Linked DNA regions of Drosophila melanogaster. Each later gene encodes a partner of the first gene's protein in a complex. Each region holds a gene or a part of one and is shown in the gene's direction. Other genes may lie near its edges. The genes, in order: fh, bcn92 and Nfs1.

Region 1 (9,801 bases):
CGTTTTGGGTGGCTCGACTAGCGTTGACTGCGGAGGCAGGGCAGCGGCCATCTCCAGCTTCTCTGGCTTGATGGGTGGCGGCGGAACCGATGGCTTCGGCGGTGGCTCAATGTCCATGGGCTCGGGATCCGTTTTGCTGGCAGTTTCGTGCACGTGCACCGCTGGCGCCGGCGTAGGCGTTGAACTCGGTGTGGGATTGAGTGTAGCGGGCTTCACAGCCGGCGGTGTCTCCTTGGGCGGAGCTGCTGGCGCTGGTACCGCCGACGCCGGCTCTTGGCCAGCGGGTGTGGCAGCGGGCTGACCTGGCTGCGTTGGCGGCTTCACTGCCTCCTCGCTCCTCGTCACTGGAGCGGCGGCAGCTGTAGCGGCAGCTGCAGCAGGATTCGCTGCGCTATTCGCATTCGCATTCGGTTCATCCAATCGCTGGCGATCGCGCTTGATGTCCTCGTACATGCGAAGCACCATCTTCTGGAAAGTTTCCTCGTCGACCGCCGGCTTGCAGTGGCGCTTTAGCTCCTCCTGGAAGGCTTCGCTGGACTCCACCATGCGCTGCTTCTTGGCCTCGAACTTCTCCTCCATCTGCTGCAGTTCCGCCTCAAGTTTGGTCTGGTGCATCGTCAACGAGCTGACCTGCCGCTTGAGCACCTGCATCCGCGTGGTGGTCACCACTGAACGCACATCTGGTACAACGGCCTCCGAGAATATCTCGTTAATCAGGCGATGGTTGTGCAGATAGCGGGCGTAGGCCAAGTGCTTGGTCGTATACCCTTCGTCCTGGTCATCCTCGTCCTCCGCCGGCTGAATGTCGATGCGTCGCTCATGCTGCGACTTACTGCCGCCACCGCGTGACGGTGTCTCATGCATATCCACGTCGGTCTTCACCTTGCTCTTGGCCGACATGTAGGCCTGATAGGCGGGCGTCTGGTGGTAGGCCTTTAGCGATTTCTCGTACTCCAGCTTCTCCGCCTCGTATTCGTCAATGAACTCCGTCTTCTCATCCTCGGGCAGCAACTTCCACATGGCACCGATCTTCTTACCCAGCTCCCACAGCTTCAGCTCTGGATGCTTCGCCTTGACGCTATCCCAGACGCGTTTCGAATACCGCATGTAGGGCAAAATGGGCTTCTCCGGCGGCTTTGGTGGCTTGGGTAGCCTTGATTCGTTCTGGTTCTTGCTGCTCGACGACTTGGTTACCTTCTGTGGCGTGAATGCCGGATTCCCATAGTTGCTGTGCGTGAAGATGGGCGTCTGATCCTTGTTGCGATCGCCACCACCTCCGCCGCCGGATGAACGCGACCGGCTGCCGCCGCCGGAGCCACCGCCGCCGCCCTGGAGTGGTGTGGCCGATCCCTGGCCGCCAACGGCTATCTGCTTGTAGTTGCTTGGCAGGGCCATCTTTGTGCAATTCGCTGGTCAAATTTGTATGGATTTTCCAAGAGAAATAACAATTTTCAGACAGACGCCATTTTCTGTCGGCGTTGGTGGAGGTGTGGCCGTATCTGATTCTAAGAAAAATCATATAAGCCGGGAATTGGTATATATAGCGGAATATATATGATAAGGAAATAGTAACTGCTAGAGAATATACAAAATTTTAGTTACCTAAAACTAGCAGAACACTTTAGCTGAATTGCTGCTACTAATAAAAAAAATCTGTAACTTCTCATTTTTATTCAGCTTTATAGAAATCAAAAATTATACCACACTAGAATCTAGAAAATACCAACGGCAAATCATTTTCCATTAAGTTGGCAGCCCCGCAACTGGGATTTGTAAAATATAAACAAATCGTAAACAACTAAAAAATGTTTGCCGGTCGTTTGATGGTCCGTTCGATCGTTGGTCGGGCATGCTTGGCCACCATGGGCAGGTGGTCAAAGCCCCAAGCACACGCCAGCCAAGTGATCCTGCCCAGCACACCAGCGATAGCCGCAGTTGCTATTCAATGCGAGGAATTCACTGCCAACCGGCGATTGTTTAGCAGTCAAATTGAGACGGAATCCACATTGGACGGCGCCACCTACGAGCGTGTGTGCTCCGACACCCTGGACGCACTGTGCGACTACTTCGAGGAGCTGACGGAGAACGCCTCCGAGCTGCAGGGCACGGATGTGGCTTACAGCGTAGGTGACATTCGGCTATTACATCATTCCATTGACCTGCTAATCCTCGCGGGGTTTCCGCTTCCACAGGATGGCGTGCTAACCGTGAACCTGGGAGGACAACACGGCACCTATGTGATCAACCGGCAGACGCCCAACAAGCAGATCTGGCTCAGTTCGCCCACCAGCGGTCCCAAGCGATACGATTTCGTCGGCACTGTGGCGGCGGGCAGATGGATCTACAAGCACAGTGGTCAGTCGCTGCACGAACTGTTGCAGCAGGAGATACCCGGCATACTGAAGTCACAGTCCGTGGACTTCCTACGCCTGCCCTACTGTAGTTAATTCCGTGATTAGTTTAAATTCTCCTCCATAAAAAGTCGGTTGAAACGTTCGATTTTGATATATTTATTGTTCTTCATCTGTTGGCACAGTGGTCACTCGATATACATGGAACTGCTGCTGCTGCGGATGAGCAAAGGTATATACTTATACTTCCCTGGAGCTGTGAAGCTTAGCTTCTGGTATAAATGCTTTGCATTCGCTTATTCATTTATGTACGATTAGTTTTGGTTTCGAAGTTTAAATTTGTTGTTTTTGAGAGGAATAAACTTAAAAATCAGTTGTTTAATGTATAAATCAAATAATAATAATCAAATCACCATTGAAGAACATCATATGTAGCTATACATATTTTATTTTATTTTATTATTTGTCACTTGTACGTTCCATTTCGTTTATTTTTATTTCAATACACAGAATTCAGAACTCAAAGCTCCCCCAGCTAATAATTCCAAACGAAAGTCGATTAAAGTTGATTTCCGGAATTATTGTGTATGTTTATTCACGTGCTCTTCAGATTTATGTTTTCTGAATTCTATTGTTGTTCGGTGTTTTATAAACAAATGAAGGTAGTGATTATTTTCTTTTCTTTTTTTTGGCAGCAGCACACATGTATGGTAAAAAAAAAAATAATAAAAATCACTTGCCAGCTAGCAGATACACGGGCACTTCAAAGGGCGTTATTCTCGTTTCTACATTACGTTTAAATTGCATAACGTTAATAGTATGGATATCTAAGTCTACGACACTCTAGTGACGTCCACCGAACATGTTGTTAAAGTGCGGCTGCTGCTGCTGCTGCTGCTGCTGGGCACCCATAAAGTTCTGGGGCATCTGGTTGAAGGGCGGCTGTGGCGGCACATTGCTGGCCCACGGATTAGGGGGCGGACCCACGTAGCCACCTGGACCTGGTGGCACCATGCCGCCGTAGTTCTGCTGCACGCCATTGCCCGCAAACGGATGATAGCCGCCGTAGCCCTGCTGATTTGGATAGTGATTGGCATTCGGTCCGCCGCTCAAGCCGCTCATCAGTGGCTGTGCCTCCTGGCCAAAGTTGCGGCCATGCTGCTGCTGCTGCTGCTGCTGCTGCTGTTGCCCTGGATAGCCCGCATTGGAATAGCCCGCTCCGGGCTGCTTTTGGCCAAGATTTTGGCCTGGATTCTGACCCAAATTCGGTGCATTCTGCGCATTTGGCGCTCCATGCTGCTGGTTCATCATATAGTTGCGATTGCCACCCACGGGTGAACCTCCAGAAGTGCCATTCTTGCTTAAAGTGCCCATTAGATTGGCTATGATGTTCTCGGTGTCTTTTAGCGAAATCTTGGTCGCTGCTGCTGGCTTGAAAGTGAGCGCATTTGGCGATGATTCAACGCCTATAATGGGCGGCACTCCTGGCTTATTGTGTACACCAGCACCAACGACACCACCACCACCACCAGCACTAGCACTTCCATTCGAATCGCAGGCCTTCATCACCAAATCATCAAAGTTGTAATCATCATCTTCCTCGTCATCGTCATCGAGCATGATACTGGGCGTGTTCCGGCCGCGTCTCTGCTTATTGATGGGCATACTGGACATATCACGATCCAAATTGGGGCGCTGAGCGCTCAGCATGGAGTGACCCACTTTCGGAGCCGTGGCACTGGCGGAGCTGGCGGCCATGGCGGAGGAGGTTCTACCACCCATAACCGAAGCCTTGAACTTGGTAGCCGGTTTCGCCTTGCTAGCCCCACCAATTTTCACCACGCGCGCCAGGAAATCACTGCAGGACTCGCCATCGCCTCGGAGCTCCACCAGATTCACATACTTGCGCAGACGATCGACGCGCGACGGATCCTGTACCTCCAACTTGCGCAGATGGCCAATGAGATGAACCTGCTCCTCGTTCGACAAAAACTTAAAGTTCTGGAGTAGGGTCTGGAGATCTGAATCTGTTAGCGATTCCAAGCCAGTGCTGCCACCGACTGTATCGGCGGCTTGTACCTTGGCCGGTGCTCCCGTAGGTTTATTCACAATATCGACGGACTCCTTGTGCAGCTGATGCTCCACCTCCTTCATCAGCTCGTCCAGATCGATGCCCATGTCATCGGGCGACGGATTATTTTGCAGTCCGAGCTTTACCTTTATCTCCTCGAATTTCAGGCCGTTGTTGTTGTCCAGCTGGCGCCGCTGTTTGTCCGTCTTCATCAGCAGCGTTAGCATGTGTAGCAAGTTGTTCATATCGCCGGTGGACACATTATTGTAGCCGTTGAGTACCAAAGCATTGGCCAATTTGGGCGCCACCAAATTGCGATCGAAGGGCAGCTGTATGGGCGCCGGATTGGCATTTGCCTTAACCTTGACATCGACGGCATCGTTGGTACCTAGAGATCATCCGGTTACGGGTGGTTTGGGGAGGGAACAACACAAAGAAATCAATCAGTTAGGATTAACAGGTGAGAGTGTGTTTCTGTTTCAGATCCCGGCAGATGGAGGATCGTTATCGCACGAAGCTACGCAAATTACATTTATACTTATGGATGGTGTGGATGGCGATTGGACAGCTCACGGTTGGTTTCTTTACACTTGATTCACACACCCAGCAAAAATAAGGGAAAGCTTACCGAAAAACGATTAGGAACGATATCACCAGCGATTCGACCAAAGAGTCTATCCAAATATACGATATAATTACTATATTATCATAAATACAACATAGAAGGAAGACCTTATGACCATTTATGTTTCTCATTGCAAGCAGGTCTTTTTAATATCAATTTAACCCTTTTTGAACCCAAAGTAAAGGTCTTAAAAATAGGTTTCTTAAATTCGAAAAATCCTACGAATTGCAGAGACAAGACCAGCAATTCAGAACACGCTTTATATATATATATGTATACTTATAATATTGTTTAAAATGGTAATAAAACACAGCGCTATTTTGTATTATTTCAAAAATACTCGCTCAGAAGATTTCGTTTATGTTTTAGTGAGAAAGAAGAAATGTGAAATGAGATTGTGATCCCAATTCATACAACAGCCAAAGTCAAAGATTCTTTATTTCATAAGGTGCTAAACTTAAAACGTAACTAAATGTTTAACCGCAGAGTTTAGTAGACTAAAGTGGGGAGTATCTAATGTACATATGTATATATTTCTTTATCACCAGCACATAAAAAAGGTTCCTTTCGAAAAAGGAGAATAGAAATATTTCGAATGAAGAATCTAAAGGTATTCCACCGAATGGCACAAAACTCACAATAAACTCTGCAACTTTGCATAAAAAGCCGTTGAAAACGCGCGAAAAACGAACGATTGTTCCGATGGGTAACCCTTTTTTTGATTTGATTTGTTTGGTTTACTTACCTCCTGATTTCTAACCGCGACCGCGAAAAAGAGCGAGAGAGACGGATACGGATTGAGCGGGTTTGGTGGTGGACTTACCTTTGAAGGTCGCCTGATAGATGATTTCGGCTATGTTCGTGATTAGTTTCTTGATCACGCGCACCTTTTGCGGATCGTCCAGTACCTCGGCAATGAGAATGCCCTTAAGCTTCTCCTTTGTGGTCTCGAGGAACACACAGTTGTCTTCGTTTCGCAGCAAATCTTCAGCTGCATTTGGCTTTACCAACTCCATGGCCAGTGCCTTGCTAAGCAAATTGAGCGCCTTGGGTCCCAGGCTGCCCAGATGCTCCTCGACGGCGGACAGCATGCGCAAGACACTAACGACAGTCAGTGGTCCCTCCTCAATGGGCTCCGATGCCTCCTTCTCCTTCTCCTTGTTGGACGAAGCGGTGGGCGAAATCGAGCTCGTCTTGGTCACTTTGTACTCGGGATATACGCGGGAATCCAGCACGCGGAACGTCTCCACAGACTCATAGCCGCGCGATGATCGAGCATAGCCCTCGTTGCGGTGATAGTACTCGGAAGAGCGTTCGCGCTCACGCTGCAAACTGTGACGACCACCGAAATCCCTGGACGACGAGCCGCGCTCTTTGGATGCTGGTTCACGACCACGACCGCGGCCACGATAGTGGGCCGGCGAGCGAGACCGGTGTCGCATGCTGCGCGAACGCGAGCGCGTAGATCCTCGATTATAGCTGCGACGCGGCGAACGACTGCGTGAGCGACGCACGGCACGACGTCCGCCGCGCTTGGGGGACAACGAACGAGAGATGGAGCGGCGTTTGTGGGAGTGACGACTACGAGATGGAGGACTATCAACATCATCATCGCTGATATCGATGACGGCGTCGGGTAGTTTGCTTGTCGCAACAATCGGACGATTGTTGCGAAAATTCGGCTTCGTTTTGCGACAATTGTCGGAATTGGTGGTGGCAGGCGCTCTACGCGGACTGGCCACACGGATCTTGTAGCGCTCCATTAGCTCCAAGGTCTTCTCTTCGTCCTCGTCGCCCAGCTTGAACTTCTCTTTGAGATCTTTCTTTATTTTATTCACCGCAATGTCGAACAGTACGATGCGACGATCTTTCCAGTAGCTAATCCACTCCGGCTTATAGTCGTATTGATTCGGATCGCATTTCTTCTCCTCCTGCAGCTGCTTGTAGCGTCGATTCCAGAACTGTTTCCACTCATCCGGATAATCGGGATGTTTCTCGGGATTTGATTCGTACATCTCTGTATCACTGCGCAGCTGCTTGAGCTGTATTTCCAGCATGCAACGGAACTTCTCCCACTTGTAGCGCTCCTGGGAAATTTTAGATGCCTGAATGGCCAGCTCCTTGGGCGTGGGCAAATGCTGCGTTTTGTTCACGCCACCTGCAGGTGGTGGCGATTGATTTTTACTACGCCCGCCGGCATCTTCCGACAGATTATTCTTCTGTCGCCCCTTTGGCACCGGGACAACCGAAGCTGTTGAACCGCCAAAGCTCTCATCATCACTGGATATGGCATCCAAGGCAATTATATTTCCATCATCATGCTGCTTGTTGCTATCCCCGGTTCCGTCGACGTTCTTCTTCATGCTGCTCTTGATGGACTCATCCGGTTTGAGTTCGCGGATCACGCGCTGAGCTTCTTCGGAAAAATCTGATCCGGCACACTCATCGAAATGAAAGCTATCCCGCACCTGACTGCACATTTTGGAGCGATAACGGCGAAAATCATCACCAGTTGCAGTTATTAGATTGCGTGACCTGCCGAAATGCTTCTCAATGCACTTGACCAAATTCCCAGTGGCAGTCACCAGATCCCCAGAGCTGTTGGGCGTGCGCTTTAGCTTTTGCAGCTCCTTGTAGGCCTTCTGGAAATGGGTTTGCAGGTACTTGGTGCGGTGCGCCTGCGATGTCCAGTGCACAAAGACGTTGCGTCCATCCGAGCACGTTTGGCAGAGCACACAGAAGTAATTCGGACGCAGTTGGGCCGGCTCGTGCAGCTCGATGGTGTATTCGGTGCCGATCAGTGGTCCGGCTGTGTAGCTCTCGATCTGCTTTTGAATGACCGCCGTGCGGGACACGTCCTCCTCGAAACCGGGCGGTACCGGCTCGCCCGGCAGGAAGCTCATCGTTTCCTGCAGATGGGTATGGGCATCAGGCCAAAAGAAGAGAACGCCAATGAACGAAAATGGTCTAGGATCAGTACTTACCTTGGTCTGTCTCTCACTTTATTTCCGTATCAAAGCGAAGCCTTCTGATTTTCCAATTTTCTTGTTCACTTTTTTGCGCACACGAATGTTTCGCATTCGCGTTCACTTATCGACAAAAGGGGGCGGCTTATGCCCGCGTGCTTATCGTTACTTACTATGGCTGCGTTAGGTAATTTAGATTATTTATCTACGTCTTTGACATCCACCAGCTTCGTTGATCACTTGTTACGAAAATTGAGTCCAAGTCGAAGCCTTTTTGACAATTTTCTTTTCTTTTTCCAGCTTTCCAGTGTGACCGTCCGTCGTTCGGGCGATAACAACGCCAACGATAGCTGAATATATCGATTGTTTGCCAGCACTTTTAAAAGTGAAACAAAAAAAAAACCAATTCTTTTTTATGATTATTAACAGAATATTTACATCCATACATAGAGTATTGTTGTTTTTTTTCAGAGCGCTGTAATGGAAATATGGCTCTAAACGCGCTTTCACATTTTTTATACCAATTTCCGTTTGGTTGCATTCAAAATATTAAAAATGGTATAAAATTCCAAATAACTGTTTCCAACTGAAAGTGGTTTGTCCTTAGTTCTATTGTGGATTTAATAAGGCAAATAAGGCCAAAATTTTTTTTTTTCAATGCGGGATTCAAATAATCTTATTTTGGTAATGGTAAAATATTGATTTCGTTTAGAATTTTTATTTTATAATCAAATTTAAAGCCTTTAGGGTTAGGGATATATTTCGTTAATATTTAATGGATTTTTATTTCGAATATTTGCTTATATTTTCTAACTTCAGTGTGACATGGAAAACATGCTTTCGTCATTTGGGCAAAAAATAAAAAAAAAAACACACACACTTCTTGTGTTTCTGCTCATGAGCCCATAAATATTTACATGTGTGGATATGCGGAGTCATTATCTTTCACCCGAAACATAATCTCCGGCCGAGTGCAAATTGTTCTCGCCTCCGCCGCAAGAATGATGGACTTCTATGGATTGGTTCTGCGATGTGGGATGTTCAATGTTGGATGTGTTTCTGATGGCGTCGCCGCAGCTGGCTTAAATCAATCCCAGCTCCCGTTCATTATTTTTTATTCACTGTATGTATGTATGTATGTAGGTATTTTCCAGCTGAAGCGGGAGCATTAATATCATTGGGTCCCAAGGGATTGGCCACATGTGCAGTTTGCCGGTTTGCCGGCCGCCGAGGACAAATGTCAGCGAACGGGACGCGGTTTTTCACATTTTCAGCGATTTCCACGAACCGAGCCCACATCCCAACCGCCCTGGGCTGTGCAGTGGAACCACCCTAATGTGAAGTCAGGGAATTCTAGCGTATATGCTTGCATACTTCTACTGAGCACCTGTATGTAGCTAGAATTTCTTTCCATGAATTTCTTACCAGATGGCTGGCAATTTCCGCTCTAGCGAGGCCGCACTGTGCGCGATATGTGTGATAGATGTAACACGTATCCTGGGAGTGGATGAAGGGCGCATTAATCGCCGCACGATGAGCACACTGATATGGCTGTCGCAGATGATAATGGCAATACAACTGACTGCACAATGAGCTGACCATATGCGCACATAGACAATAAAATACGAATGCGAATGCGAGTGTGAGTATATGCCACCCCATTTTTGAAGGCCGCCCCGGTGCATTTGACAGTGGGCGAAGTTGCGCTTCATGTGGATGCGGATGTAGCCAAGGACGAGGATGAGGATGAGGATGAGGACGAGTAGTGGGATTGGGAGTGGGATGTGG
Region 2 (10,011 bases), 7.0 Mb from region 1:
AGTGCCACGGCTAAATGGCAATACGGACCCGGAGCCAACCGAGGAGGAGGATCAACAGCAACAGCCGAAGAGGGCCACGCGTGGCAGGGGCAGAAAGGCCAATAACAATGTGGATGTAACCCCACCCGCCACGGAGACCAGAACCCGAGGTAGGGCCAAAGGAGCAGATGCGACCACGGCTGCCATATCGCCACCAACGGGCAAAAGAAACACGCGGGGCACCCGGGGCTCCAGAAAGGCCGAGCAGGAAGTCGACATGGAAGTGGACGAAACGGCGATGACGACGGTGCCAGCGAACGAGGAACAGCTGGAACAGGCCACACTTCCACCGAGGAGAGGTCGCAATGCTGCTGCCCGAGCCAATAACAATAATTTGGCAAGCGTTAACAATAACATTAATAAAATAGCCGCCAATTTGTCAGCCAAGGCCGAGGCCAGCCGACTAGCAGAAGGCGGAGTCGCGGGTGGAGCGGCACGAAGCTATGGTCGGAAACGAAAGAACCAGCAGGTAACGCAGGTGCTACAGCAGGAGCCAGTGCCCGAAGAGCAGGAAACTCCTGATGCTGAGGAGGAGCAGCCCACACCCGCCAAGATTCCGCACACAGATCACAGGGAACATTCGCCAGACCATGATCCGGATCCTGATCCGGATGAACTGTCGAACAACTCAAACAACTCCTCGTTGCAGCACGATGGGTCCTCCTCCTCGCCCCCACCCCGCGATTTCAAGTTTAAGGATAAGTTTAAGCGAACATTGACACTGGACACACAGGGCGCGGCGAACGCCGGAGCGGGAGGAGCAGCAGCGGCGGCGCCACCTGAGTCCTCTGGCGAACAGCGGGGCGCTGTCAAGCTGGTCATCTCAAAGAAGAAAGGCAGCATCTTCAAAAGCCGCGCTCTGGTGCCATCCGATCAAGCGGAACAGGCTACAGTGGCCAAGCGACATCTGTACAAGCACAGTTGGGATGCTGCGCTAGAAGCGAATGGCGGTGGAACCAACAGCGATGCCAGCAATGCCTCGGCATCTGGCGTGGGCGTCGCTGGGGCGAAGGATCATCTGCATCATTTAGCGGCGGGCAAGTCCGATGGTGATTTCGGTGACAGTCCGTCGTCGAACAACAATGGCTCCTCCAGTGCGTGCAGCAGCGCATCCACGTTGCGCGGCGATAGCCCGGCCCTCGGAAAGATCTCGCGACTGGCGGGAAAACAGGGAGTACCTGCCACCTCCACTAGTTCCGATGCCTTTGACCTGGATTTGGAACCAATTGCCGGAGAGCTTGACCTAGAGCGTAGTGCAGCTGGTGCTTCCGCTGGTGGAACAGGGGCAACGACAGGCGGAGGTGGAGCGACGGGCGGTGGCGGCCCCGTTCGGGTCGACCGCAAAACTAAGGACTACTATCCAGTGGTGCGTAACGTTAAGACGGCCCATCAAATTCAGGAGATCGGCGAGTACCAGGAAATGGACGACGACGTCGAGTACATCCTGGACGCACTTCAGCCGCACAATCCCCCGGCAACACGGTGTCTCTCCGCCCTTCAGCTAGCCGCCAAGTGTATGATGCCCGCCTTCCGGATGCACGTGCGTGCCCATGGGGTGGTCACCAAATTTTTCAAGGTAAGTTAGATCCCCAATTCTTACATATATTGAGCTCCAAACCGCCTTTGGGCGCTTGGTATTTGCATAGTTTGATTATGCAATTGAATCTTATCAAATTCAAAATATCAGCTTTCGGCAAAGCTGTCCCCAGAATAGCCAGTTTGTTTTGAAAGCTGTGTTGTTATTTTGTTATTCTGTATTAAAAGCCTGTATAAACTATTAAACCATTGCAGTTGTACTTTAATCAACTTGGTAATGTTTTCCACTTTAAATCAGTACAGTTTATTGATTATTTGCAAAGTGAATAACAAAAAAAAAAGTTTTAGGAAAAGTATCAACCTCTTTGTTAATTAACTGACTATTTAACTGTAGGCATTATCCGACGCCAACAAGGACCTCAGCCTAGGCCTGTGCACCTCGGCCATCATGTACATTCTTTCCCAGGAGGGCCTCAACATGGACCTGGATCGCGACTCCTTGGAGCTGATGATCAACCTTCTGGAGGCGGACGGCGTGGGTGGCAGCACGGAGACTGGGCACCCGGATAGAGCGGGCTACGACCGCAACAAGCAGAAGGTGCGCGAGTTGTGCGAGGAGATCAAGGCGCAGGGCAAGGGAACGCATCTCAACGTTGATTCTCTGACTGTGGGCACGCTGGCAATGGAAACGCTGCTATCGCTAACATCCAAGCGCGCGGGCGAGTGGTTTAAAGAGGATCTGCGCAAGCTGGGTGGCCTGGAGCACATTATCAAGACCATCTCGGACTTCTGCAGACCGGTGATTGCCTGCGACACGGAGATTGACTGGCAGCCGACGCTGCTGGATAACATGCAAACGGTGGCGCGTTGTCTGCGAGTCCTCGAAAACGTGACGCAGCACAATGAGACGAACCAGCGCTACATGCTCACCTCTGGCCAGGGAAAAGCAGTGGAGACGCTTTGCCAACTGTACCGTCTTTGCAGCCGACAAATAATGCTGCATCCTTCGGATGGTGGTGGCAGCAACAAGGAGCATCCGGGTGTGGCTATGCGCGAGCTGCTGGTGCCGGTGCTCAAGGTACTGATCAACCTGACGCACACGTTCAACGAGGCGCAGCCATCGTTGGGAGCCGAGCTGCTAGGTCAAAGGGGCGATGTGGTGGAGACGAGCTTCCGATTGCTGCTGCTCTCGGCCAACTACATTCCCGACCAATGTGTCTTTGAGCTAAGCATACTGGTGAGTGTGAGATTTATATCTTTTCGCTTCACAAGTAACCAATTTCAAACACTGATTCCCACCTCTCCAGGTTCTTACACTGCTAATCAATTTGTGCATGCATACTGTGCCCAACCGGGCTGCTCTAATGCAAGCTGCCGCTCCGGCAGAGTACGTAGCGGATAATCCACCAGCGCAGGGATCTGTGAGTGCACTGCAAGCTCTGCTTGAGTACTTCTACAAGTGCGAGGAGCTGGCTAGGTAGGACACATTAACAATTCTAGTCACATTGTCGCATTGCTTTATATTATGTTTCACGCCCGCAGATTGGTGGAAAAGAACACGGACGCCTTCCTCGAGAGCAACGAGAAGGGAAAGAAGAAACAAGAAGAAGTGGAGGAGACAGTCAACAATCGTGAGTATTTAGCGGTTTGATGATCTGTGACCTATGCTAATTGCCGGGCGGTTTTGACAGTTGTGCAACGAGCCGGCCACCACATGGAGCACACGCTAAAGGGAAGTTATGCGGCCATCCTGGTGGGAAATCTGATAGCGGACAACGAGTTGTACGAGTCGGTGGTGCGCCGCCAGCTGCGAGGAAATAGCTTTAAGGAGATTATTGGAGTGCTGGAGAAGTACCACACATTCATGAACCTTACATCCAGCGTGAGTCTCATAATATGTCATACATTTTCAGTTCAGATCGATAGCTTAATCCATCTTACCCTTAATCCATCAAACTGCACAACCTTCTAACTCGTTAACGTTCTCCACCATTTGTATAGTTGGAGGCAGCCTTTGTGGCGCATATGAAGTCCACGAAGCGCATCATCGACAACTTTAAGAAGCGCGACTACATCTACGAGCACTCGGATGAGCACGACAACCCCCTGCCTCTGAATCTGGAAACGACGGCGCAAGTCTTGGCCGTGGGAGCGGACGCGTCGCATGCTGCTACAAGCTCGACCACGGTCGGCTCTGGCTCCGCACCCTCATCCACATCGGCCACAGGAACGACGAGGGCGCCGCGGGTCTATAAAACGTACAGCAGCCACAGGTAATCGGACCTGGGATCTGAATCGGAATCGAAGAGCCATCGCAATTGTCGTTAACCACACCGAAAGCCTGCCACCAAAATAAAATTCTGTTGTTTGTGATTATGTAATTTGTTTATGTGTTGATATAACAATCACTACATGTATGTGTATAGCCTGTAATGCACCTAGTTTCAGTCAGCTATATATATATAGATATATATATATATAGAAGTATATAGCTAAGAGCGATAGGATACAATGCGATCTGTTTTTGCGTTTGTATTAACCCAAAGTGATAGCGAATTCCTGAGCATGGTCTGCGTTTTAACTAAAGAAAATGATTAAGATTGACGAAACGAAAGCGACACCCCGAACAACACAAAGATCCAAATCCCCACTAATATGAGTACGTTATATAGTCATAAGCAATATTAGCAGCTAAATGTCGGCTTACCCTCGAAAGCACACACCCATGTAAATATTCTTTAATCAGCGATTTTATCGGACGCGTCTTAGGTTTATTTCGAATGTGTTTTTTTTTTACCTATTCATACTTTATATATTAAACCTTTTTTTTATTGATTGTAAAACAAGCGCTCTTAGCAAAAACGCTGCAGCAGAAAGAGCGAGAGCGATAGACATGTGTAAAGAGAGAGTTAGAGAGGAAAATTCTAGATTAGATGTGGGAAATAAAGTTATTTTATTGCCTAAACGTAAGCTAAAGAAACTCTACTTATAAAACTAACACTGATAAATAAATATATATATGTATATGGATATATGTGTACGTTTACAACCACTAAAAATGTCATTTTTAGGCTACAAAAGTCAGATTTAAAAAGCAAGCGCGCGTGCAAGAAAGAAACAATTTCGGGAACAAAATATATATATTTATTTTGTGTTTTCAACGAGTACATAATATATTGTTCTTGCGGAAAAAACAAACAGAATTAAAACTAAAATTGAAAAAATGCGGCAGTTGTCTTATTTTGTATAATGGGAGCAGGTTAATTTGGTTTTTATTTTAATATTTACCTCTAAATATTTCGGATTCTTAATAAATTATTTTTCTGCACTATGAACTCAATTTATTTCTTACTTTTTGCAATAATATTTAGTATCACAAAAATAGTTTTTTTATTCAGTTGCGATGATTTCCGCACGACGCAGTGTCATCTCTAAGACTCACGCACGTGACACCACAGTGAATGCAGTCAGCTGTTTCTGGTATTTTGCAGCGGAAAAGTCAGTATTTTCCGGCTTTCCGCATGTAATTTTTATGTCATCAGGCGGTCAATTGGCAGTTGCCGCACCGAAACAAGAAACCAGGGTCAAAACAAAGCACTCATCAATTAAACAGCACTTTAATCCACCAGCCCGCCCGCCATTCAGTTCCATTCGGCCAGGATCAAGACCAGGATGTCGACCCGTCGCCAGGCGATCACGTTATACAGGAATCTCCTGCGCGAATCGGAGAAGCTGCCCTCGTACAACTTCAGGTAGGTGTTGTGAAATTGAAAGGCCGCCGCGAGTGATGAGCAATCTATTCCGGATTTCAGAATGTACGCTGCCCGAAAAATACGCGACACATTCCGCGCCAACAGGAGCACCAGGGACTTCGCGGAGATCGATCGCCAAATGGCCGAGGGCCAACAGAATCTGGAGCTGATACGTCGCCAGGTGAGTGGTTCGTCGGATTTCACCCCTCTCCCTTATCAGCAATGCTTGAAAGTATCCAGATAACGTAAGGCATTCCGTCTTCGAGATCACAGCGCATCCAAAAAGAGCCGTCGTTTATTTACCAAGTTGTTAGGAACTCAAATAATTAGTGGTATAAAAATACTACTATCAACTACTACTTCCCTTATCAAAGACAATCAATTTAAAGATTAAAAATATTAATGTATATTTAAAGTAGATTTTATCATATATATCTGATTTTGCAAATATGGGGAATGGAAAACTCAATTACCATCCTATTAGAAATCGAAAGTAACCATTTTGCCCCTTTTTCGCTTATCAGCCGGTTGAGTTTATTAACCTTTGAATGTCCACAGGTAATCATCGGCCACCTGTATTCCGCTGACAAACTGGTTATAGAGAACAAGAAGACCCTGAAGCCCTCGGACGACTAAGGGAAATACGGAGCGAAAAACGCGCTAGCTGAAGAGAGTACAATAGCAGGGAAGGAGCGGTAGAAGGAGCAGGAGGCGTCTCCAGATGAAGACACAACTCGAAAGACTCGACCCACACACAACACAACACACCAAACCACACGCATTGTTGATTTTAAATGGCACTTGCATTCATGAAACTAAGGAATCAAAATCATTTGCTAGCAAAAAAACACCAATTTAATGTTATGTTTAACAACAATTATGAAATTCTATATACATACATATATATTAATGGTATAAATAAGTACTAAAGTACTCCAGAAAAAAAAGAAACATCTAAGACACCGGCGCCAATGACATGGAATGTGTGAACGGGAAAGTGGAGCAGGTGGAACCTACGCCTGGTAGGTGCTGGCGGACACATTGCCGCCGGTGCCTGTCCAGTTCGTGTGGTGGAACTGACCCTCCTGGCCCAGCAGCTCATAGGTGTGGGCGCCGAAGTAATCCCTCTGGGCCTGCAGCAAGTTGGCTGGCAGCTTGGCCGTGCGGTAGCCGTCGTAGAAGCTTAGGGCGGTAGACAGGGCCGGCACGGGAATGCCCCAGCGGAAGGCATTGGCCACCACCTCGCGCCACGAGTCCTGGCCGCGCTCGATGGCCTTCTTGAAGAAGTCGTCCAGCAGCAGATTAGACAGCTCCGGCTGCGACGTATACGCGTCCTTAATGTTGCCCAGAAAGACGCTGCGGATGATGCAGCCGCCGCGCCACATCAGCGCAATGCCGCCGTAATTAAGTCTCCACTTGTTCTCCCTGGCCGCCTCTCGCATGAGCATGAATCCCTGGGCGTAGGACACGATCTTGGCGCAGTAGAGAGCGTGCTTGATGTCGTCGAGGAACTTGGTGAGGTTGGCCACTTGCGCCTTGGTCGAGGGTCCCTTCAGCACGCTGCTGGCCTGGACGCGCTCGTCCTTCAGGGCAGACAGGCATCGCGAGAAGACCGCCTCGCCAATTAGCGTCACAGGCACTCCATACTGCAGAGCAGCGATTGCCGTCCACTTGCCCGTGCCCTTCTGGCCGGCGGTATCGCGAATCCGCTCCAGCAGATAACCTTTGCCGTCCTTGTACTTAAGAATATCACGCGTGATTTCAATGAGGAAGGAGTCCAGTTCGGCCGAGTTCCACTTGCCGAACTCGTCTGCCATCTGGTCAGCCGACAGTCCCAGGCTCTGCATGATGTGGTACGCCTCGCAGATCAGCTGCATGTCACCGTATTCGATGCCGTTGTGCACCATCTTGACGAAGTGACCGGCGCCTCCATCGCCCACCCACTCGCAGCAGGGTTCACCGTCGGCCTTGGCGCAGATCGCCTGGAAGATGGGTTGGATAAGGGGCCACGCGGCCTCGTGTCCGCCGGGCATCAGCGAGGGTCCGTGGCGGGCGCCCTCCTCGCCACCGCTCACGCCGGATCCGACGAAGAGCAGGCCAAGTTTGGCTAACTCGTCGCAGCGGCGAGATGTGTCCTGATACTCCGAGTTGCCACCATCGATGATCACATCGCCGGCGGAAAGCAGCGGCACCAGCTGCTGGATGAAGTCGTCGACTGCACTTCCAGCTGAAATTGTATCGAGATTACATCTGATTAGCGTAAAGTCGATTAAAGCAGATCGAATTCCTCATCGGGGTTCTCAAAAGCTCAACTATCGTAGACTCATTTTCCAAAGCGTTCTTAGCTAGCGCCAGTTCTTTTAACGTAAAGAAATCTTCGATTTAGCCAGAAAGTAGAGCGTGCGATTGGACAAGGTCGGTTGGTTGCTTTTGGAAAGTCACTGTTTTGGAGGTCACCCTGGTGGCGAGGCGTCCCTAGCGCCGGGTGAGCAGTTCTCCAGCGCAGTGGACCCAGATAAGGCCAACGAGTCGTGGCGATACTACCATTGATCTATCTATCTAGCGGTCGTTGGTGGTGGTTTGTGGGGCACACTAGCGGTCAAGATTGTTGGACTCGCTCTGTTCAATGACCAACTAGCTTTTTGTGTCGTCATCCTTGATAACTTAACTACACTGATAATCAATAACCTTTGTCCTTACTCCCACCCACCCTGTGAATGTGGGATTCGCACAACCTGTCACGCAACTTTCAAATCTACATATGTTCAGCACAAAAACCTCCAGAGCTATGTACATATGTTATTGACCCGCACTGTATTCTTCTAAGGAGCAGTCTCCAGACGAAATGACTCACTGGCCTGGCAACTCGCAGAAGAGGAATATGTAGGTTTTTCGGCTGGTCAAATCCGAGTAAATCCACCTGAAAATCGCCCATTTTGTGTGACCTATTATGAATGTCAAAGATTTCTCTCTGCGCCGCGTTGTTGTTGCTTTCGCACGAACAGATAAGCCGGGCACGCCGATCTAGAGGTGAGCAGAGTTTCGGACACGCGAGAGTGGTAGACGAACGCGTGAGTGACCTGGAAATCACCTGATGGGTTCGCTCGATGGTTTAGGTAAGTGGAGGCAGCTTACCACAACTATGTGATTAGACAAAACTCACGCCACACTTGTGGTTACGGTTTTCGAAATGGGACTGATCCATTTATAAACCTTTTATCAGAAGTCCGGTTTTAAAAGAGCTACAATGCTTAAGTTTCGAATCCTATAAAGAGCTTTGAATTCTGTCTAGTTTTCAAGTCAAAACTATCGCATACAAAACCTACGAAATGCCATCCCTATCATTTGTACAAAAAGAACTCCTAACCCAGACTTAGTGGTTAAGGCCGCAGCTCAATGATCTCTAAACAGTTGTTTTTTGTGTTTACTCCACCCCTTCACCGTTTTCTCGCGCTCCCTCCTCTTCCTACTTCCACCTGCTTATCCTATCTCGTTCCCCTTTGCACATTGGAATATGAGCCGCAAAAATCGTCATCATGATTACTTTGCTTCGACTTTTTCACCAATTCACAAGCACGCGCGCACACATGTAAGTTGAGTCACCAACACAGCGATCGCTTGCAGCAGGTTTCAATGGGTTTTCGATGCTCTGCGCTACCCAGCCGCTGAATTTGGATATGCAACTCACCCTTGACCAGCAGCATGACCTTCCGGGGGCTCTTCAGCTTGGAGACCATGTCCTCGAGCGAGTCGGCTCCAATCACTTTGGTGTCCTTAGCCTCATTGGCGAGGAACTCCTTGACCTTGGCCACCGTGCGGTTGTAGGCGCACACCACGAATCCCTTCTCGTCCATGTTGAGTATCAGGTTTTGGCCCATGACGGCCAGGCCGATGAGGGCAATATCCGCTTGTCTGGAAGAAATCCGGAAATGGGCGACGTTAGGATCGCGGAAAACTCCGGGGAAAAGAGAATTTCCCTCTACTCACCCGCTCATGTTTCGTGTGTTCTTTGTGGTTTGTGCTCCAACAATGATTTGAGCTTCTAATGTTACAATCTATATATGGCACTGTTAAGCGGCAGCTCGTCGATCGATAGTCGCGCCACAATGTTAGCTATCGATAAGTGCAGAAAAGCTCCACTCGCGAAGCTTTCGCAGGGCGGCAGTTTGACTTTGAACTTCGGAGTTTGAAGCTATCGCCGATCCTTGACCAATTACTGCCGGTTGGTGCTAATTTTGTGAGTGGACTCTAATGAGTACTGCTACTAAATATAGTGCTTCGTAGTGTAACAGTAAATGCAAAGATAGTGTTTTTTCTATTATTACCTCCGAGTACCTATAATGTGGTACTGTAAAAACTGGTATATACTATTTTTTCGGACTATTTTATAAGTAAGTTTTGCCCATTGGTTTCGTGCCAAATATGATGGTCCTTTTTAACTTCACAAGTTAACAAAATTCACTTCTAATGCCATTTCTGTATTATAAGGTTATGAAAATTACACACAAACAAAAAAAATAGAATCTATTAGGTAGAAGCCTTCAGTTAAGCACCTTATAGGGATTGAGGATGCTGTTGGGGTCCAGCAGCTTCTTCATCTCGCGCATGTAGCCAATGGCCACCGGGTCCTTGGAGTAGTGCAGGTAGTCCTTCTTCAGGAAGCCAATGCCGTGCTCCGCACTAA
Region 3 (10,578 bases), on another chromosome or scaffold:
CTGAGGACTGGATTTCGTTGGTCGGTTGAGCTTGCTGCTGCTGCTGCTGCATCATTTGCTGTTGCTGTTGCATTTGAAATTGTTGTTGCTGCTGCTGCATTTGTTGCTGTTGCATCTGCTGCTGCTGATGCATTTGTTGCTGTTGCATCTGTTGCTGCTGCTGCATCTGTTGCTGCTGCTGCATCTGTTGTTGATTAGGGAATGCAGATGCTGCTGCTTGAGCAAATAATCCGGAGGCAGCTGCCTGCTGCTGCTGTTGTAGTTGCTGAGAAGCCTGAGTAAACATTCCGCCCATATTTTGGCTTGCGGCTTGGCCAAAGATTCCCGTCGACTGTGGTTGCTGCTGCTGCTGTTGGAAACCACCGAAAGGATTAGGATTCACTGGCTGAGCTTGCACCTGAACCTGCGCCTGGGCGAAAATGTTGCCCCCTTGGAAAGCTTGTGCAGCAGGCTGCAGCTGTTGCTGCTGTGGCTGTCCAAAGACACTTTGTGCACCTGTTGCCGCAGCTCCTACACCAAAAATGCTATTCCTTGCATTGGCATTGCTAATCGTTCCGCCGAAAATGCTATTGGTGTTGCTGGCTTGGCTTGTGGCATTCCCAAATATATTTCCCGCACTCAGCGTGGGCTTTCCAAAAATGGATGCAGATGTATTGGCGGCAGCCGGAGCTGCTGCAGCGAAGGGATTACTGGACTGCTGAGGGGCAGCCGACACAGTGCCGCCCTCCGGCGTCTCGTGGATCTTGATCATCATTTCCAGGACCTGCGGCGACATCTGAAGCATGGTCTTCATCTTGTTGTTAGCCTCTAGGACCTCACGGTTAAACTGTTGGCTGAACTGTTCGAATTGGTTTTGTCGTTTGGCCTCGTAACACATGAACCGCACCTCCTCGAAGGATTGGTCCTGAATAAAGTTGGGGAAATTCGCTTTGTCCTTAAAGGGTCCGTAGGCGGACAAAGGCCACATCTTGCCATTGAGGCTGGATTCCATGTCGGCTTTGAGATATTGCCTAAAATAATTAAGTTATTAGTTCATCTGCATAGTTTTAATATCAATGTACTCACTTAACATCGAAATGCTCGTTGTTGCACTTTGCGCCATAGCGGCAGGAGCCTTGTTGAAAGAACCGGCAGACAACCATATTTAAATTTGATTTTAATTTTTGCCTATTTCCTATATTTATTATTTCAAAACTGCTTCAACTTTTGTACTTTTGTTTATAATTGTCTTACTTTGCGTATTGAGTATTCTTTGAGTATTTTATGGCTCACTGAGAAAAATATACCGTGCCTATGCGCGCAATTTCGTGAATTCGTAACTTAAGTTCGCTGAATGATTAAGATAATTTTGTAAGCAAACATATTTAAGATGAAAACTGGTTTTTGAAAATATAGTTCCTTGTAAATTATACATTAAGTGCGAATATATCTGAAAAATATTGGTTTCTTGCACAGATGCTATTCATTTTTCATATGTTCAAAGAAATTCAGAAACTTGCTTCTGCATAATCGAATCAGATAATTTTAAAGTGAATTCCGGAGTCCTTTGGTATATCTCGTGCCGCCGAATACGGTCCCACTGATTGTGAAATCCGTGATAACGAATTTTAACACCAGAATTTCTAGGATTCCATCAGAATGCAAAAAGTGCTGGGACGCATCCAGGCGCAGGTCCTCCGCTCCCGGGCGACGAATGCATTAGCCAATGTGGTTAGACACGAGGCCACCTCCTCCAGGACAGCGGCTAAACCAGCCGCCACATCCAAAGGTAAGCGGATCCTCCAAGATGCACAGTTACCGCTTACCAAAATCGTATTCGTTCGTAGAATTCCGGGAGAGACAGGTGCGATTCAACATAAAGAACGAACAGACCGAGGGTAGACCACTTTACCTGGATGCCCAGGCCACCACTCCAATGGACCCACGTGTATTGGACGCTATGCTCCCCTATCTGACCAATTTCTACGGAAATCTGGTTCGTACGCTTCGCCTTCAACGCCTGGCAAAAGATTCTGGCCTTGGGCAATCAACTGGGCACAACATTTGTCTGGGAATTGGACTGCAATGATCCCAATTTAACAAAGTGTAGCCAGCTGGTTCATCCCAAAAGCAACTCCACCATCCGACAGACTTCCTTCTCCAAAGACGGTTCCATTTTAGTTTGCGTGTGCGACGACAGCACCGTGTGGCGATGGGATCGCGTCAATTAGGATGAGTGTTTCTAGGCTAAAAGAATTTTCCTTATCCTTCTAAATCCGATACCATATTTATGTAACCATAGTTATTTTCAGTGTAATGTTTACCTTCAATATTAAGTATGTTCTTATGCGTAGCATTTATATACAATACTCATTGTATTGACAATTTATGTTAAATTATGTTAAATTTTTTAACATTAACCAAGATATTTATTCTATTCTATTACTTTTTTAATGATCAAATAGCTTCGCAAATATTATCATCTTATGTTGTGTGAATGGCGTGGGCTCTATCTTTAATGTTTATATTTTAACTAACTAACTTGTACACAATAAAAACTGTGAACACTAAAGATTAAAACCAATATTTTTTTAAAGGGTTCTTCAAAAATAACGGTTTTTATCTCAAATGTATCTGGTATTTTCAGCCGTTCTTTGAACGGTCACTCGAATCAGCTGCATTCATTTGTTTATATAGCAATTCGCAAACAGTTGGATTTTCCTGTTTAGTTGTTATTCCCAATACTAAAATGCTTACCGACAGAGTTCTGGCCACCAAGGAGGCGCTAGTGGTGGCTCTGGGCGACAACTGGGAGCGTTACCGGGCCAACATGAAGAATTGGTTTCGGAGCCGTTGGACTAAGGAGGAATTCGATGCGGAGTCGCGGAAAATCCTAACACCTGACAAACTGCACCTGCACAATCAGTTCCTGCTCGCCCTGCTCAACAAGATCGACGCCTTTGCTCCCCTGGAGAATCCTCCGGCCGTCCAGACCAGCAGCAGTAGTGGCAACCGAAGCAAACGGCGCAAAAGAAGTTGCCGCACCTTCGCCGAACGCCTTAATTTTGAGCTCAGCGACGTCCTGGACTTTGTAGCCGAGGACAACATGCAAATCATTCGTCCGCCAACCACGATCGGTATTCCGTCGGACCAGCAACAGCAACAGCTTCAGTCGCAGCGGTACTGCGCGCAGGAACTTTTCCTGCCCGACGCGGGATTCATTATGGGACGATTTCTGATCGGTGCCTGGGAAATCGGACTTGTCTCCGTGGACGACAATGTCGCCGAGTACGTTGCCATGGCCGTGCAAGTTCTGCTCAAGGATCTACTATCGGCAATCATCAAGAAACGAAAGCACTACAAGACCAGCGGCGAGGGAAACTTTTACTACGATGTAGGTGCTCCGTTGCGTGATCCTTCGCTGCGCAACACCGTCACCCGGCAGAAGGTCGACGACACGCCGCTGGAACTGGACAAGGAACTGAATACGGCCAACTTTATGCGGCGACAGAACGACGATGTGACCTTCCTCTCCGCCTGCGAAGAAGTGTAAGCTCCTGAATAATAATGAGATTTTCATGTGAAACACAAACTTAGGTTTTGTTTCTTTCAGCCAACCCACCGAACGCACAGTAATCACCCTCAAGGACTGCCAACTGGCCTTACGGGATCGCAACCTGATAGGCTCGCATGCCGTCTACTCCATAAACATGGAACGACTCAATATGATGATGCATTAGCTTATAAGTTCTAATTATTTTATTATATCAGCTTCTGTAAAAATATATACATTATACGCTAGTGTACCATTAAGTGTTTGGTTCAGCAAAGATTCCGTGGAGGCGGTTTGAATGGCAAGGCACCTGGTAGAAATTGATCCGCCTTGAATGCTTCGATTTCCTGCTCGTTGAGATCCTCCATGCGACTGTAAACTGAGGACTGGATTTCGTTGGTCGGTTGAGCTTGCTGCTGCTGCTGCTGCTGCATCATTTGCTGTTGCTGTTGCATTTGAAATTGTTGTTGCTGCTGCATTTGTTGCTATTGCATCTGCTGCTGCTGATGCATTTGTTGCTGTTGCATCTGTTGCTGCTGCTGCATCTGTTGCTGCTGCTGCATCTGTTGTTGATTAGGGAATGCAGATGCTGCTGCTTGAGCAAATAATCCGGAGGCAGCTGCCTGCTGCTGCTGTTGTAGTTGCTGAGAAGCCTGAGTAAACATTCCGCCCATATTTTGGCTTGCGGCTTGGCCAAAGATTCCCGTCGACTGCGGTTGCTGCTGCTGCTGTTGGAAACCACCGAAAGGATTAGGATTCACTGGCTGAGCTTGCACCTGAACCTGCGCCTGGGCGAAAATGTTGCCCCCTTGGAAAGCTTGTGCAGCAGGCTGCAGCTGTTGCTGCTGTGGCTGTCCAAAGACACTTTGTGCACCTGTTGCCGCAGCTCCTACACCAAAAATGCTATTCCTTGCATTGGCATTGCTAATCGTTCCGCCGAAAATGCTATTGGTGTTGCTGGCTTGGCTTGTGGCATTCCCAAATATATTTCCCGCACTCAGCGTGGGCTTTCCAAAAATGGATGCAGATGTATTGGCGGCAGCCGGAGCTGCTGCAGCGAAGGGATTACTGGACTGCTGAGGGGCAGCCGACACAGTGCCGCCCTCCGGCGTCTCGTGGATCTTGATCATCATTTCCAGGACCTGCGGCGACATCTGAAGCATGGTCTTCATCTTGTTGTTAGCCTCTAGGACCTCACGGTTAAACTGTTGGCTGAACTGTTCGAATTGGTTTTGTCGTTTGGCCTCGTAACACATGAACCGCACCTCCTCGAAGGATTGGTCCTGAATAAAGTTGGGGAAATTCGCTTTGTCCTTAAAGGGTCCGTAGGCGGACAAAGGCCACATCTTGCCATTGAGGCTGGATTCCATGTCGGCTTTGAGATATTGCCTAAAATAATTAAGTTATTAGTTCATCTGCATAGTTTTAATATCAATGTACTCACTTAACATCGAAATGCTCGTTGTTGCACTTTGCGCCATAGCGGCAGGAGCCTTGTTGAAAGAACCGGCAGACAACCATATTTAAATTTGATTTTAATTTTTGCCTATTTCCTATATTTATTATTTCAAAACTGCTTCAACTTTTGTACTTTTGTTTATAATTGTCTTACTTTGCGTATTGAGTATTCTTTGAGTATTTTATGGCTCACTGAGAAAAATATACCGTGCCTATGCGCGCAATTTCGTGAATTCGTAACTTAAGTTCGCTGAATGATTAAGATAATTTTGTAAGCAAACATATTTAAGATGAAAACTGGTTTTTGAAAATATAGTTCCTTGTAAATTATACATTAAGTGCGAATATATCTGAAAAATATTGGTTTCTTGCACAGATGCTATTCATTTTTCATATGTTCAAAGAAATTCAGAAACTTGCTTCTGCATAATCGAATCAGATAATTTTAAAGTGAATTCCGGAGTCCTTTGGTATATCTCGTGCCGCCGAATACGGTCCCACTGATTGTGAAATCCGTGATAACGAATTTTAACACCAGAATTTCTAGGATTCCATCAGAATGCAAAAAGTGCTGGGACGCATCCAGGCGCAGGTCCTCCGCTCCCGGGCGACGAATGCATTAGCCAATGTGGTTAGACACGAGGCCACCTCCTCCAGGACAGCGGCTAAACCAGCCGCCACATCCAAAGGTAAGCGGATCCTCCAAGATGCACAGTTACCGCTTACCAAAATCGTATTCGTTCGTAGAATTCCGGGAGAGACAGGTGCGATTCAACATAAAGAACGAACAGACCGAGGGTAGACCACTTTACCTGGATGCCCAGGCCACCACTCCAATGGACCCACGTGTATTGGACGCTATGCTCCCCTATCTGACCAATTTCTACGGAAATCCCCACTCCCGTACCCACGCCTACGGTTGGGAAACAGAGTCCGCTGTAGAAAAGGCCCGCGAGCAGGTGGCCACCCTGATTGGCGCCGATCCCAAGGAGATCATCTTCACATCCGGCGCCACCGAGTCGAATAATATCGCAGTAAAGGGTGTTGCCCGTTTCTACGGCACTAAGAAGCGACACGTGATCACCACCCAGACGGAGCACAAGTGCGTGCTGGACTCTTGTCGTGCTTTAGAGAACGAGGGCTTTAAAGTCACGTACCTGCCAGTGCTGGCCAACGGACTCATCGACCTCCAGCAACTGGAGGAAACCATCACATCGGAGACCTCGCTGGTGTCCATTATGACGGTGAATAACGAAATCGGCGTACGGCAACCCGTCGATGAGATTGGCAAACTGTGCCGGTCTCGCCGAGTATTCTTTCACACGGATGCCGCTCAGGCGGTGGGAAAGGTCCCGCTGGACGTTAACGCCATGAACATTGACCTGATGTCTATATCCGGCCACAAAATCTACGGCCCAAAGGGTGTAGGCGCCCTGTATGTCCGACGAAGGCCGAGGGTTCGCCTCGAGCCCATCCAAAGTGGCGGCGGCCAGGAGCGTGGCCTAAGGAGCGGAACGGTTCCAGCCCCGCTCGCCGTGGGATTGGGAGCTGCTGCGGAACTTTCTTTGCGTGAGATGGACTACGACAAGAAATGGGTGGACTTTCTATCCAATCGCCTGCTGGACAGGATTTCAAGTGCCTTGCCGCATGTCATCAGGAATGGTGATGCCAAAGCCACATACAATGGTTGCCTGAATTTGTCGTTTGCCTATGTCGAGGGCGAGTCACTACTGATGGCTCTTAAGGACGTGGCCCTGAGCAGTGGGTCCGCCTGCACCTCCGCCTCCCTGGAGCCCTCCTATGTTCTGCGTGCCATCGGCACCGACGAGGATCTTGCCCACAGCTCCATACGCTTTGGCATCGGGCGCTTTACCACCGTCGAGGAGGTGGACTACACCGCCGATAAGTGCATCAAGCATGTGGAGCGACTGCGCGAGATGTCGCCGCTGTGGGAGATGGTCCAAGAGGGCATCGACCTAAAGACCATCCAATGGTCGCAGCATTAATGTACTAATATTTAAGCCGTTACTGTTACACCACACTTTGAAAGCGAAGGGAAAATAAATTTGTTGGAAGAGTATCTAGGTTTATTTGTACACAAAACCACTTATAACTAAGCTTAGTCCGAACGAATGTGCTTGTGTAAGAGGTGAGGCAAGAGAGACCCCAAAAAGCGAAAACGGCTCAAAGTGCGACGGCCAATGATATGCAAATGATGCAATAATTTGCATTCGCCGCTGGTCAAGGTTCAGTTGGCCTTCTTCTGGGGTGAGCCGCTGGATCCACCGCCCAGGATCTTACGGCGCTGGGCGAACATGTGCAAGTACAACTGCGGGAAGATGGGGATGTAGCCGAGCATGACGATCCACAGGAATCCAAAATACGAGAAGGTGGCGTTCCACTTGTTGGGCATCACCACACTCCACACGCTGTTCTCACGGGCATAGCTCTGGGCCCACCAGAAGCACAGCAGCTCCCCAGTCACGCCGATGGGATACAGGACAATGAATGTGGTGTAGCGCAGGAACACCACAAAATGCGGCACCACCTTGACGATGTTCAGAGCGTAATATCCATATCGGATGATCTCAGTGATGGCCCAGGCCAGCAGGGCGATGGGCAGACCGGGTGAAACCTTTCCAGTAGGCGTGGCCATCACCACGCCGACGACCACCATCATGCGGCTGAACACCTGGAAGCCAGTGACCACCGGGTTCGACTTGACCAATCCAAAAGAAGCATTGAGTATCTCCACGAACGCGGCATTCTGGAAGATGATCACGGCCAGCCGAGTATACTCCCACAACGTCACCTGGGCACGGAACTCCGGACCCTGCAATATGTAGTAGTTGACCAGCTGCCACAGGATGTAGCTCCATCCGACCACCTGGCCGGCGTTGTACGCAAACAGGTACAATTTAGTGACCGCCGACGGCTCCTTGGAAGCGCCTGGTTTGCTGGACTTGGACACTGCCTTTGCTGACATGTTGGAGCGGAGATGTGTGAACTTTCACCTTGCCGATCGCCGCTGGTTAACTAATCAGTCGTCACAGTCTTATCGCCCTGTAGCGCGATAATTCCGAAGTCGCTTTCACCTGATTGGGTCAGTATGACCGCACGGCGACCACACAAAAAATACCAAAAAAAAGGGCTAAGAAATATATATAACTATTAAATACCCTTCCATATAATATCTTTTATAAATAAAAACGCTTTGATATCGAAAATTGTTCATTTAATCATTTGTAAATTAATAATCATTTAATTAAAATTTCTTGATATAAAATTTCATTCGCCTTTATTTTCTCTGAATTTTGTTTTTTGCTATTCACAATTTTTCCAACGAGTATAAATAAAAGATGAACTTCATTCTTTCAAAGTCAACGGGTACAAAGTGCATAGCCTTATAACCTTTCCTCTATTCACAGATCGCAAATCTAAGTTAACAATGCCACAACCATTAGGCATGCTTAGCAATTAAGTCGTTTTTATGTGCAAAGTTATTTCACTTAAGTTAAGTTAAGTCTCAAAACGTTAAAATTCTTTGAAAACTATGATTTTAAATCCTATCAACTTACTTTAAAGCTGAATTACCGTTTCTTATGTTAGTACAAATTAAAGTAAATAAACTAAATAATAACACAATTTATATTTCTTCGAAAATATTCTTAGTATCATTAGTAAAACTATAATAATTTTTAATTATAGTAAAAATTAATACCTATCATATATATTCTTTCTTTAATGTATAGTAAAGCATGGTTAAGAACAATGGATAATGGGTGGTTATGAGCCGACATATAAAAATTTATCGCTAACGACAAGGTGGAGAAATCAATTTTTTTGATAAGAACTAGCCCATTGTACGCTTTGCATTTCTAACCACATTTCGCTTAAAGCAGCCCACTGTAGGCGGCAGCTGACGTTTCCCAGCGAACGACGGCTGGTTTGCGCGATGAGCCAGCAAGGCAGCTAAACTTTCTGGTCGCCTGGTGGAAACCGAACCGAAAACCGAACGTGTCTGAAAAAGTCCGCCACCACCACGGACCGGTGCACGTCCCCACCTGCCAAGTCGCGTGTGTGTGGTGTTGCCTGTGGACCGACCCCAGCTCTCCATTAATGGGCAGCCGGAGCGAATCGCTTGTCGCCGTTGTCGAAATTCGCAGCTCGTTCGCAATCGGAATTGGAACTTTTGTTCCGAAAGCAAAAGGCCGCTAGGCCGGACGGCACAACACGGCACGTGCTGCTGCACACGATTTGTTTTATGTGGGCGGAGGCCCGCAACCACGCCTACCCTGTGAATTAATTTGCTGCTGCTTCTGCTGCTGCTGGTGCTGCCCATTTAACGCAAATTACTAACTACTCCCCTAAAAAAGCCGACGCCTTATCAGCAGCAGCAATAGCCAGCATGCCCGCCCGCCTGGCTTATCAGCAGCGGCGATTGCTATACGGGACTCGTTCCGTACGACGGGCGGAGCGGCAATTCACCCAGAGCAGCGCCCACAAAGGCCGATTGGACAAAATTGGAAAAACGAGAACCCCGCCAAAAGTGAATTCCCTCTTTTTCACCAGGCGCCCAGAGCGGGCAGACCAACGAAATGCCGTCAAATGCCAGCAAAACGGCATTCGGCAGAGTGCGAGCGAGACGACGCTAGTGTCGCAATGGCAGGGGTTTTCAATGTGACTGGTCGCCGGTGTGTGCGTGTGTGTGTGTGTGCCGGCAATGAAATTGCCAAAGCTGACAAATTGCGGCAGTTTAAGGCAAAAGCTAGTGATAATCGAAACTCTTTAAGCCGAGCTAACAAATTCATCGCTCTCTTTCGCTCCAAAGTGCACGTTTACACATTCTTGTTTAAAGCGAAGGGCAATCAAAACAAATTGACTGGTTCGGCGAGCGGCTAACAGAGGGCGCCACCTTGATGGTGAGGGGTTCCATACATATGAATATGTATGTAAAAACCCAGGGCGAAAAAGTCATGAAAACCCATTGCCTCTATACACGCCCACAAATGCGAGCCCTGCGCGCCCCTCTTGCCATCTCGTTCTCGTTTCCACTGTGCAACATGCCCAGCAATTGGAGAAGAAAAACAAAAACAAAAGCAAGAAAGGCGGGAAAAAATAGGTAAATATTGTTTGTTTGAACACCACAATTTCTAATGCAAACACTCGCGCCCCTGCAAACGCTTGAACATTTTGCTCAATTTTGAGCAGTCATTTTGTTTGCTCACATCACAGGCCAACAGAAAACGGAAAATTGCCCCCAAACGCTACGGCTTGTGTTCTACGACTATGCCACTATGGGGTACATGGTATGGCATAGTATTGAATGGTATGGTATGGCACATACGCGATAAGATGGCGATGGCCGTTGGAGCGGGAATAGAGAACTGCATGATGGCGCCCGCGGCGGAAGTTGCGGGCGCCCACTCCGGCCGGACATTTTGTTTTGTGCCCGTCATTTTGCTTATTGCACAAATTTCTACTCGGCCCGCAGCAAAAATCACAGCTTGCCCCATTTATGCGCCAAAAAACTATCGCCTAACACCGCCGATTAACTAACAGCCGTGCCAAAGAAGCGGCGACTAAAA

Evidence for each region.
Region 2: fh (region 1) and bcn92 share a complex: the UniProt entries of both Drosophila melanogaster proteins name them as parts of the mitochondrial core iron-sulfur cluster (ISC) assembly complex.
Region 3: fh (region 1) and Nfs1 share a complex: the UniProt entries of both Drosophila melanogaster proteins name them as parts of the mitochondrial core iron-sulfur cluster (ISC) assembly complex.

What each region holds. Positions count from the first base shown.
Region 1 is NC_004354.4:9,141,017-9,150,817, reverse strand, and holds fh (frataxin), read left to right. Parts: upstream 1-1,746; 5' UTR 1,747-1,805; coding exon 1,806-2,123; intron 2,124-2,192; coding exon 2,193-2,447; 3' UTR 2,448-2,738; downstream 2,739-9,801. Other genes in the region: Bap111 (brahma associated protein 111kD), read right to left, coding at 1-1,395; CG7065 (uncharacterized protein), read right to left, coding at 3,195-4,810, 5,871-7,950. UniProt on the Drosophila melanogaster protein: Promotes the biosynthesis of heme as well as the assembly and repair of iron-sulfur clusters by delivering Fe(2+) to proteins involved in these pathways.
Region 2 is NC_004354.4:2,144,718-2,154,728, reverse strand, and holds bcn92 (bcn92), read left to right. Parts: upstream 1-5,081; 5' UTR 5,082-5,247; coding exon 5,248-5,327; intron 5,328-5,387; coding exon 5,388-5,508; intron 5,509-5,885; coding exon 5,886-5,963; 3' UTR 5,964-6,266; downstream 6,267-10,011. Other genes in the region: wapl (wings apart-like), read left to right, coding at 1-1,615, 1,970-2,812, 2,883-3,052, 3,118-3,206, 3,267-3,457, 3,577-3,852; Pgd (phosphogluconate dehydrogenase), read right to left, coding at 6,341-7,554, 9,016-9,239, 9,315-9,322; D2hgdh (D-2-hydroxyglutaric acid dehydrogenase), read right to left, coding at 9,869-10,011. UniProt on the Drosophila melanogaster protein: Stabilizing factor of the core iron-sulfur cluster (ISC) assembly complex that regulates the stability and cysteine desulfurase activity of Nfs1 and participates in the [2Fe-2S] clusters assembly on the scaffolding protein IscU.
Region 3 is NT_033779.5:11,994,176-12,004,753, forward strand, and holds Nfs1 (Nfs1 cysteine desulfurase), read left to right. Parts: upstream 1-5,478; 5' UTR 5,479-5,549; coding exon 5,550-5,679; intron 5,680-5,737; coding exon 5,738-6,996; 3' UTR 6,997-7,069; downstream 7,070-10,578. Other genes in the region: CG18789 (uncharacterized protein), read right to left, coding at 1-1,010, 1,066-1,142; Qtzl (quetzalcoatl), read left to right, coding at 1,639-1,768, 1,827-2,068; Ada1-1 (transcriptional adaptor 1-1), read left to right, coding at 2,729-3,528, 3,593-3,719; Hacd1 (3-hydroxyacyl-CoA dehydratase 1), read right to left, coding at 7,239-7,976. UniProt on the Drosophila melanogaster protein: Catalyzes the removal of elemental sulfur from cysteine to produce alanine. It supplies the inorganic sulfur for iron-sulfur (Fe-S) clusters.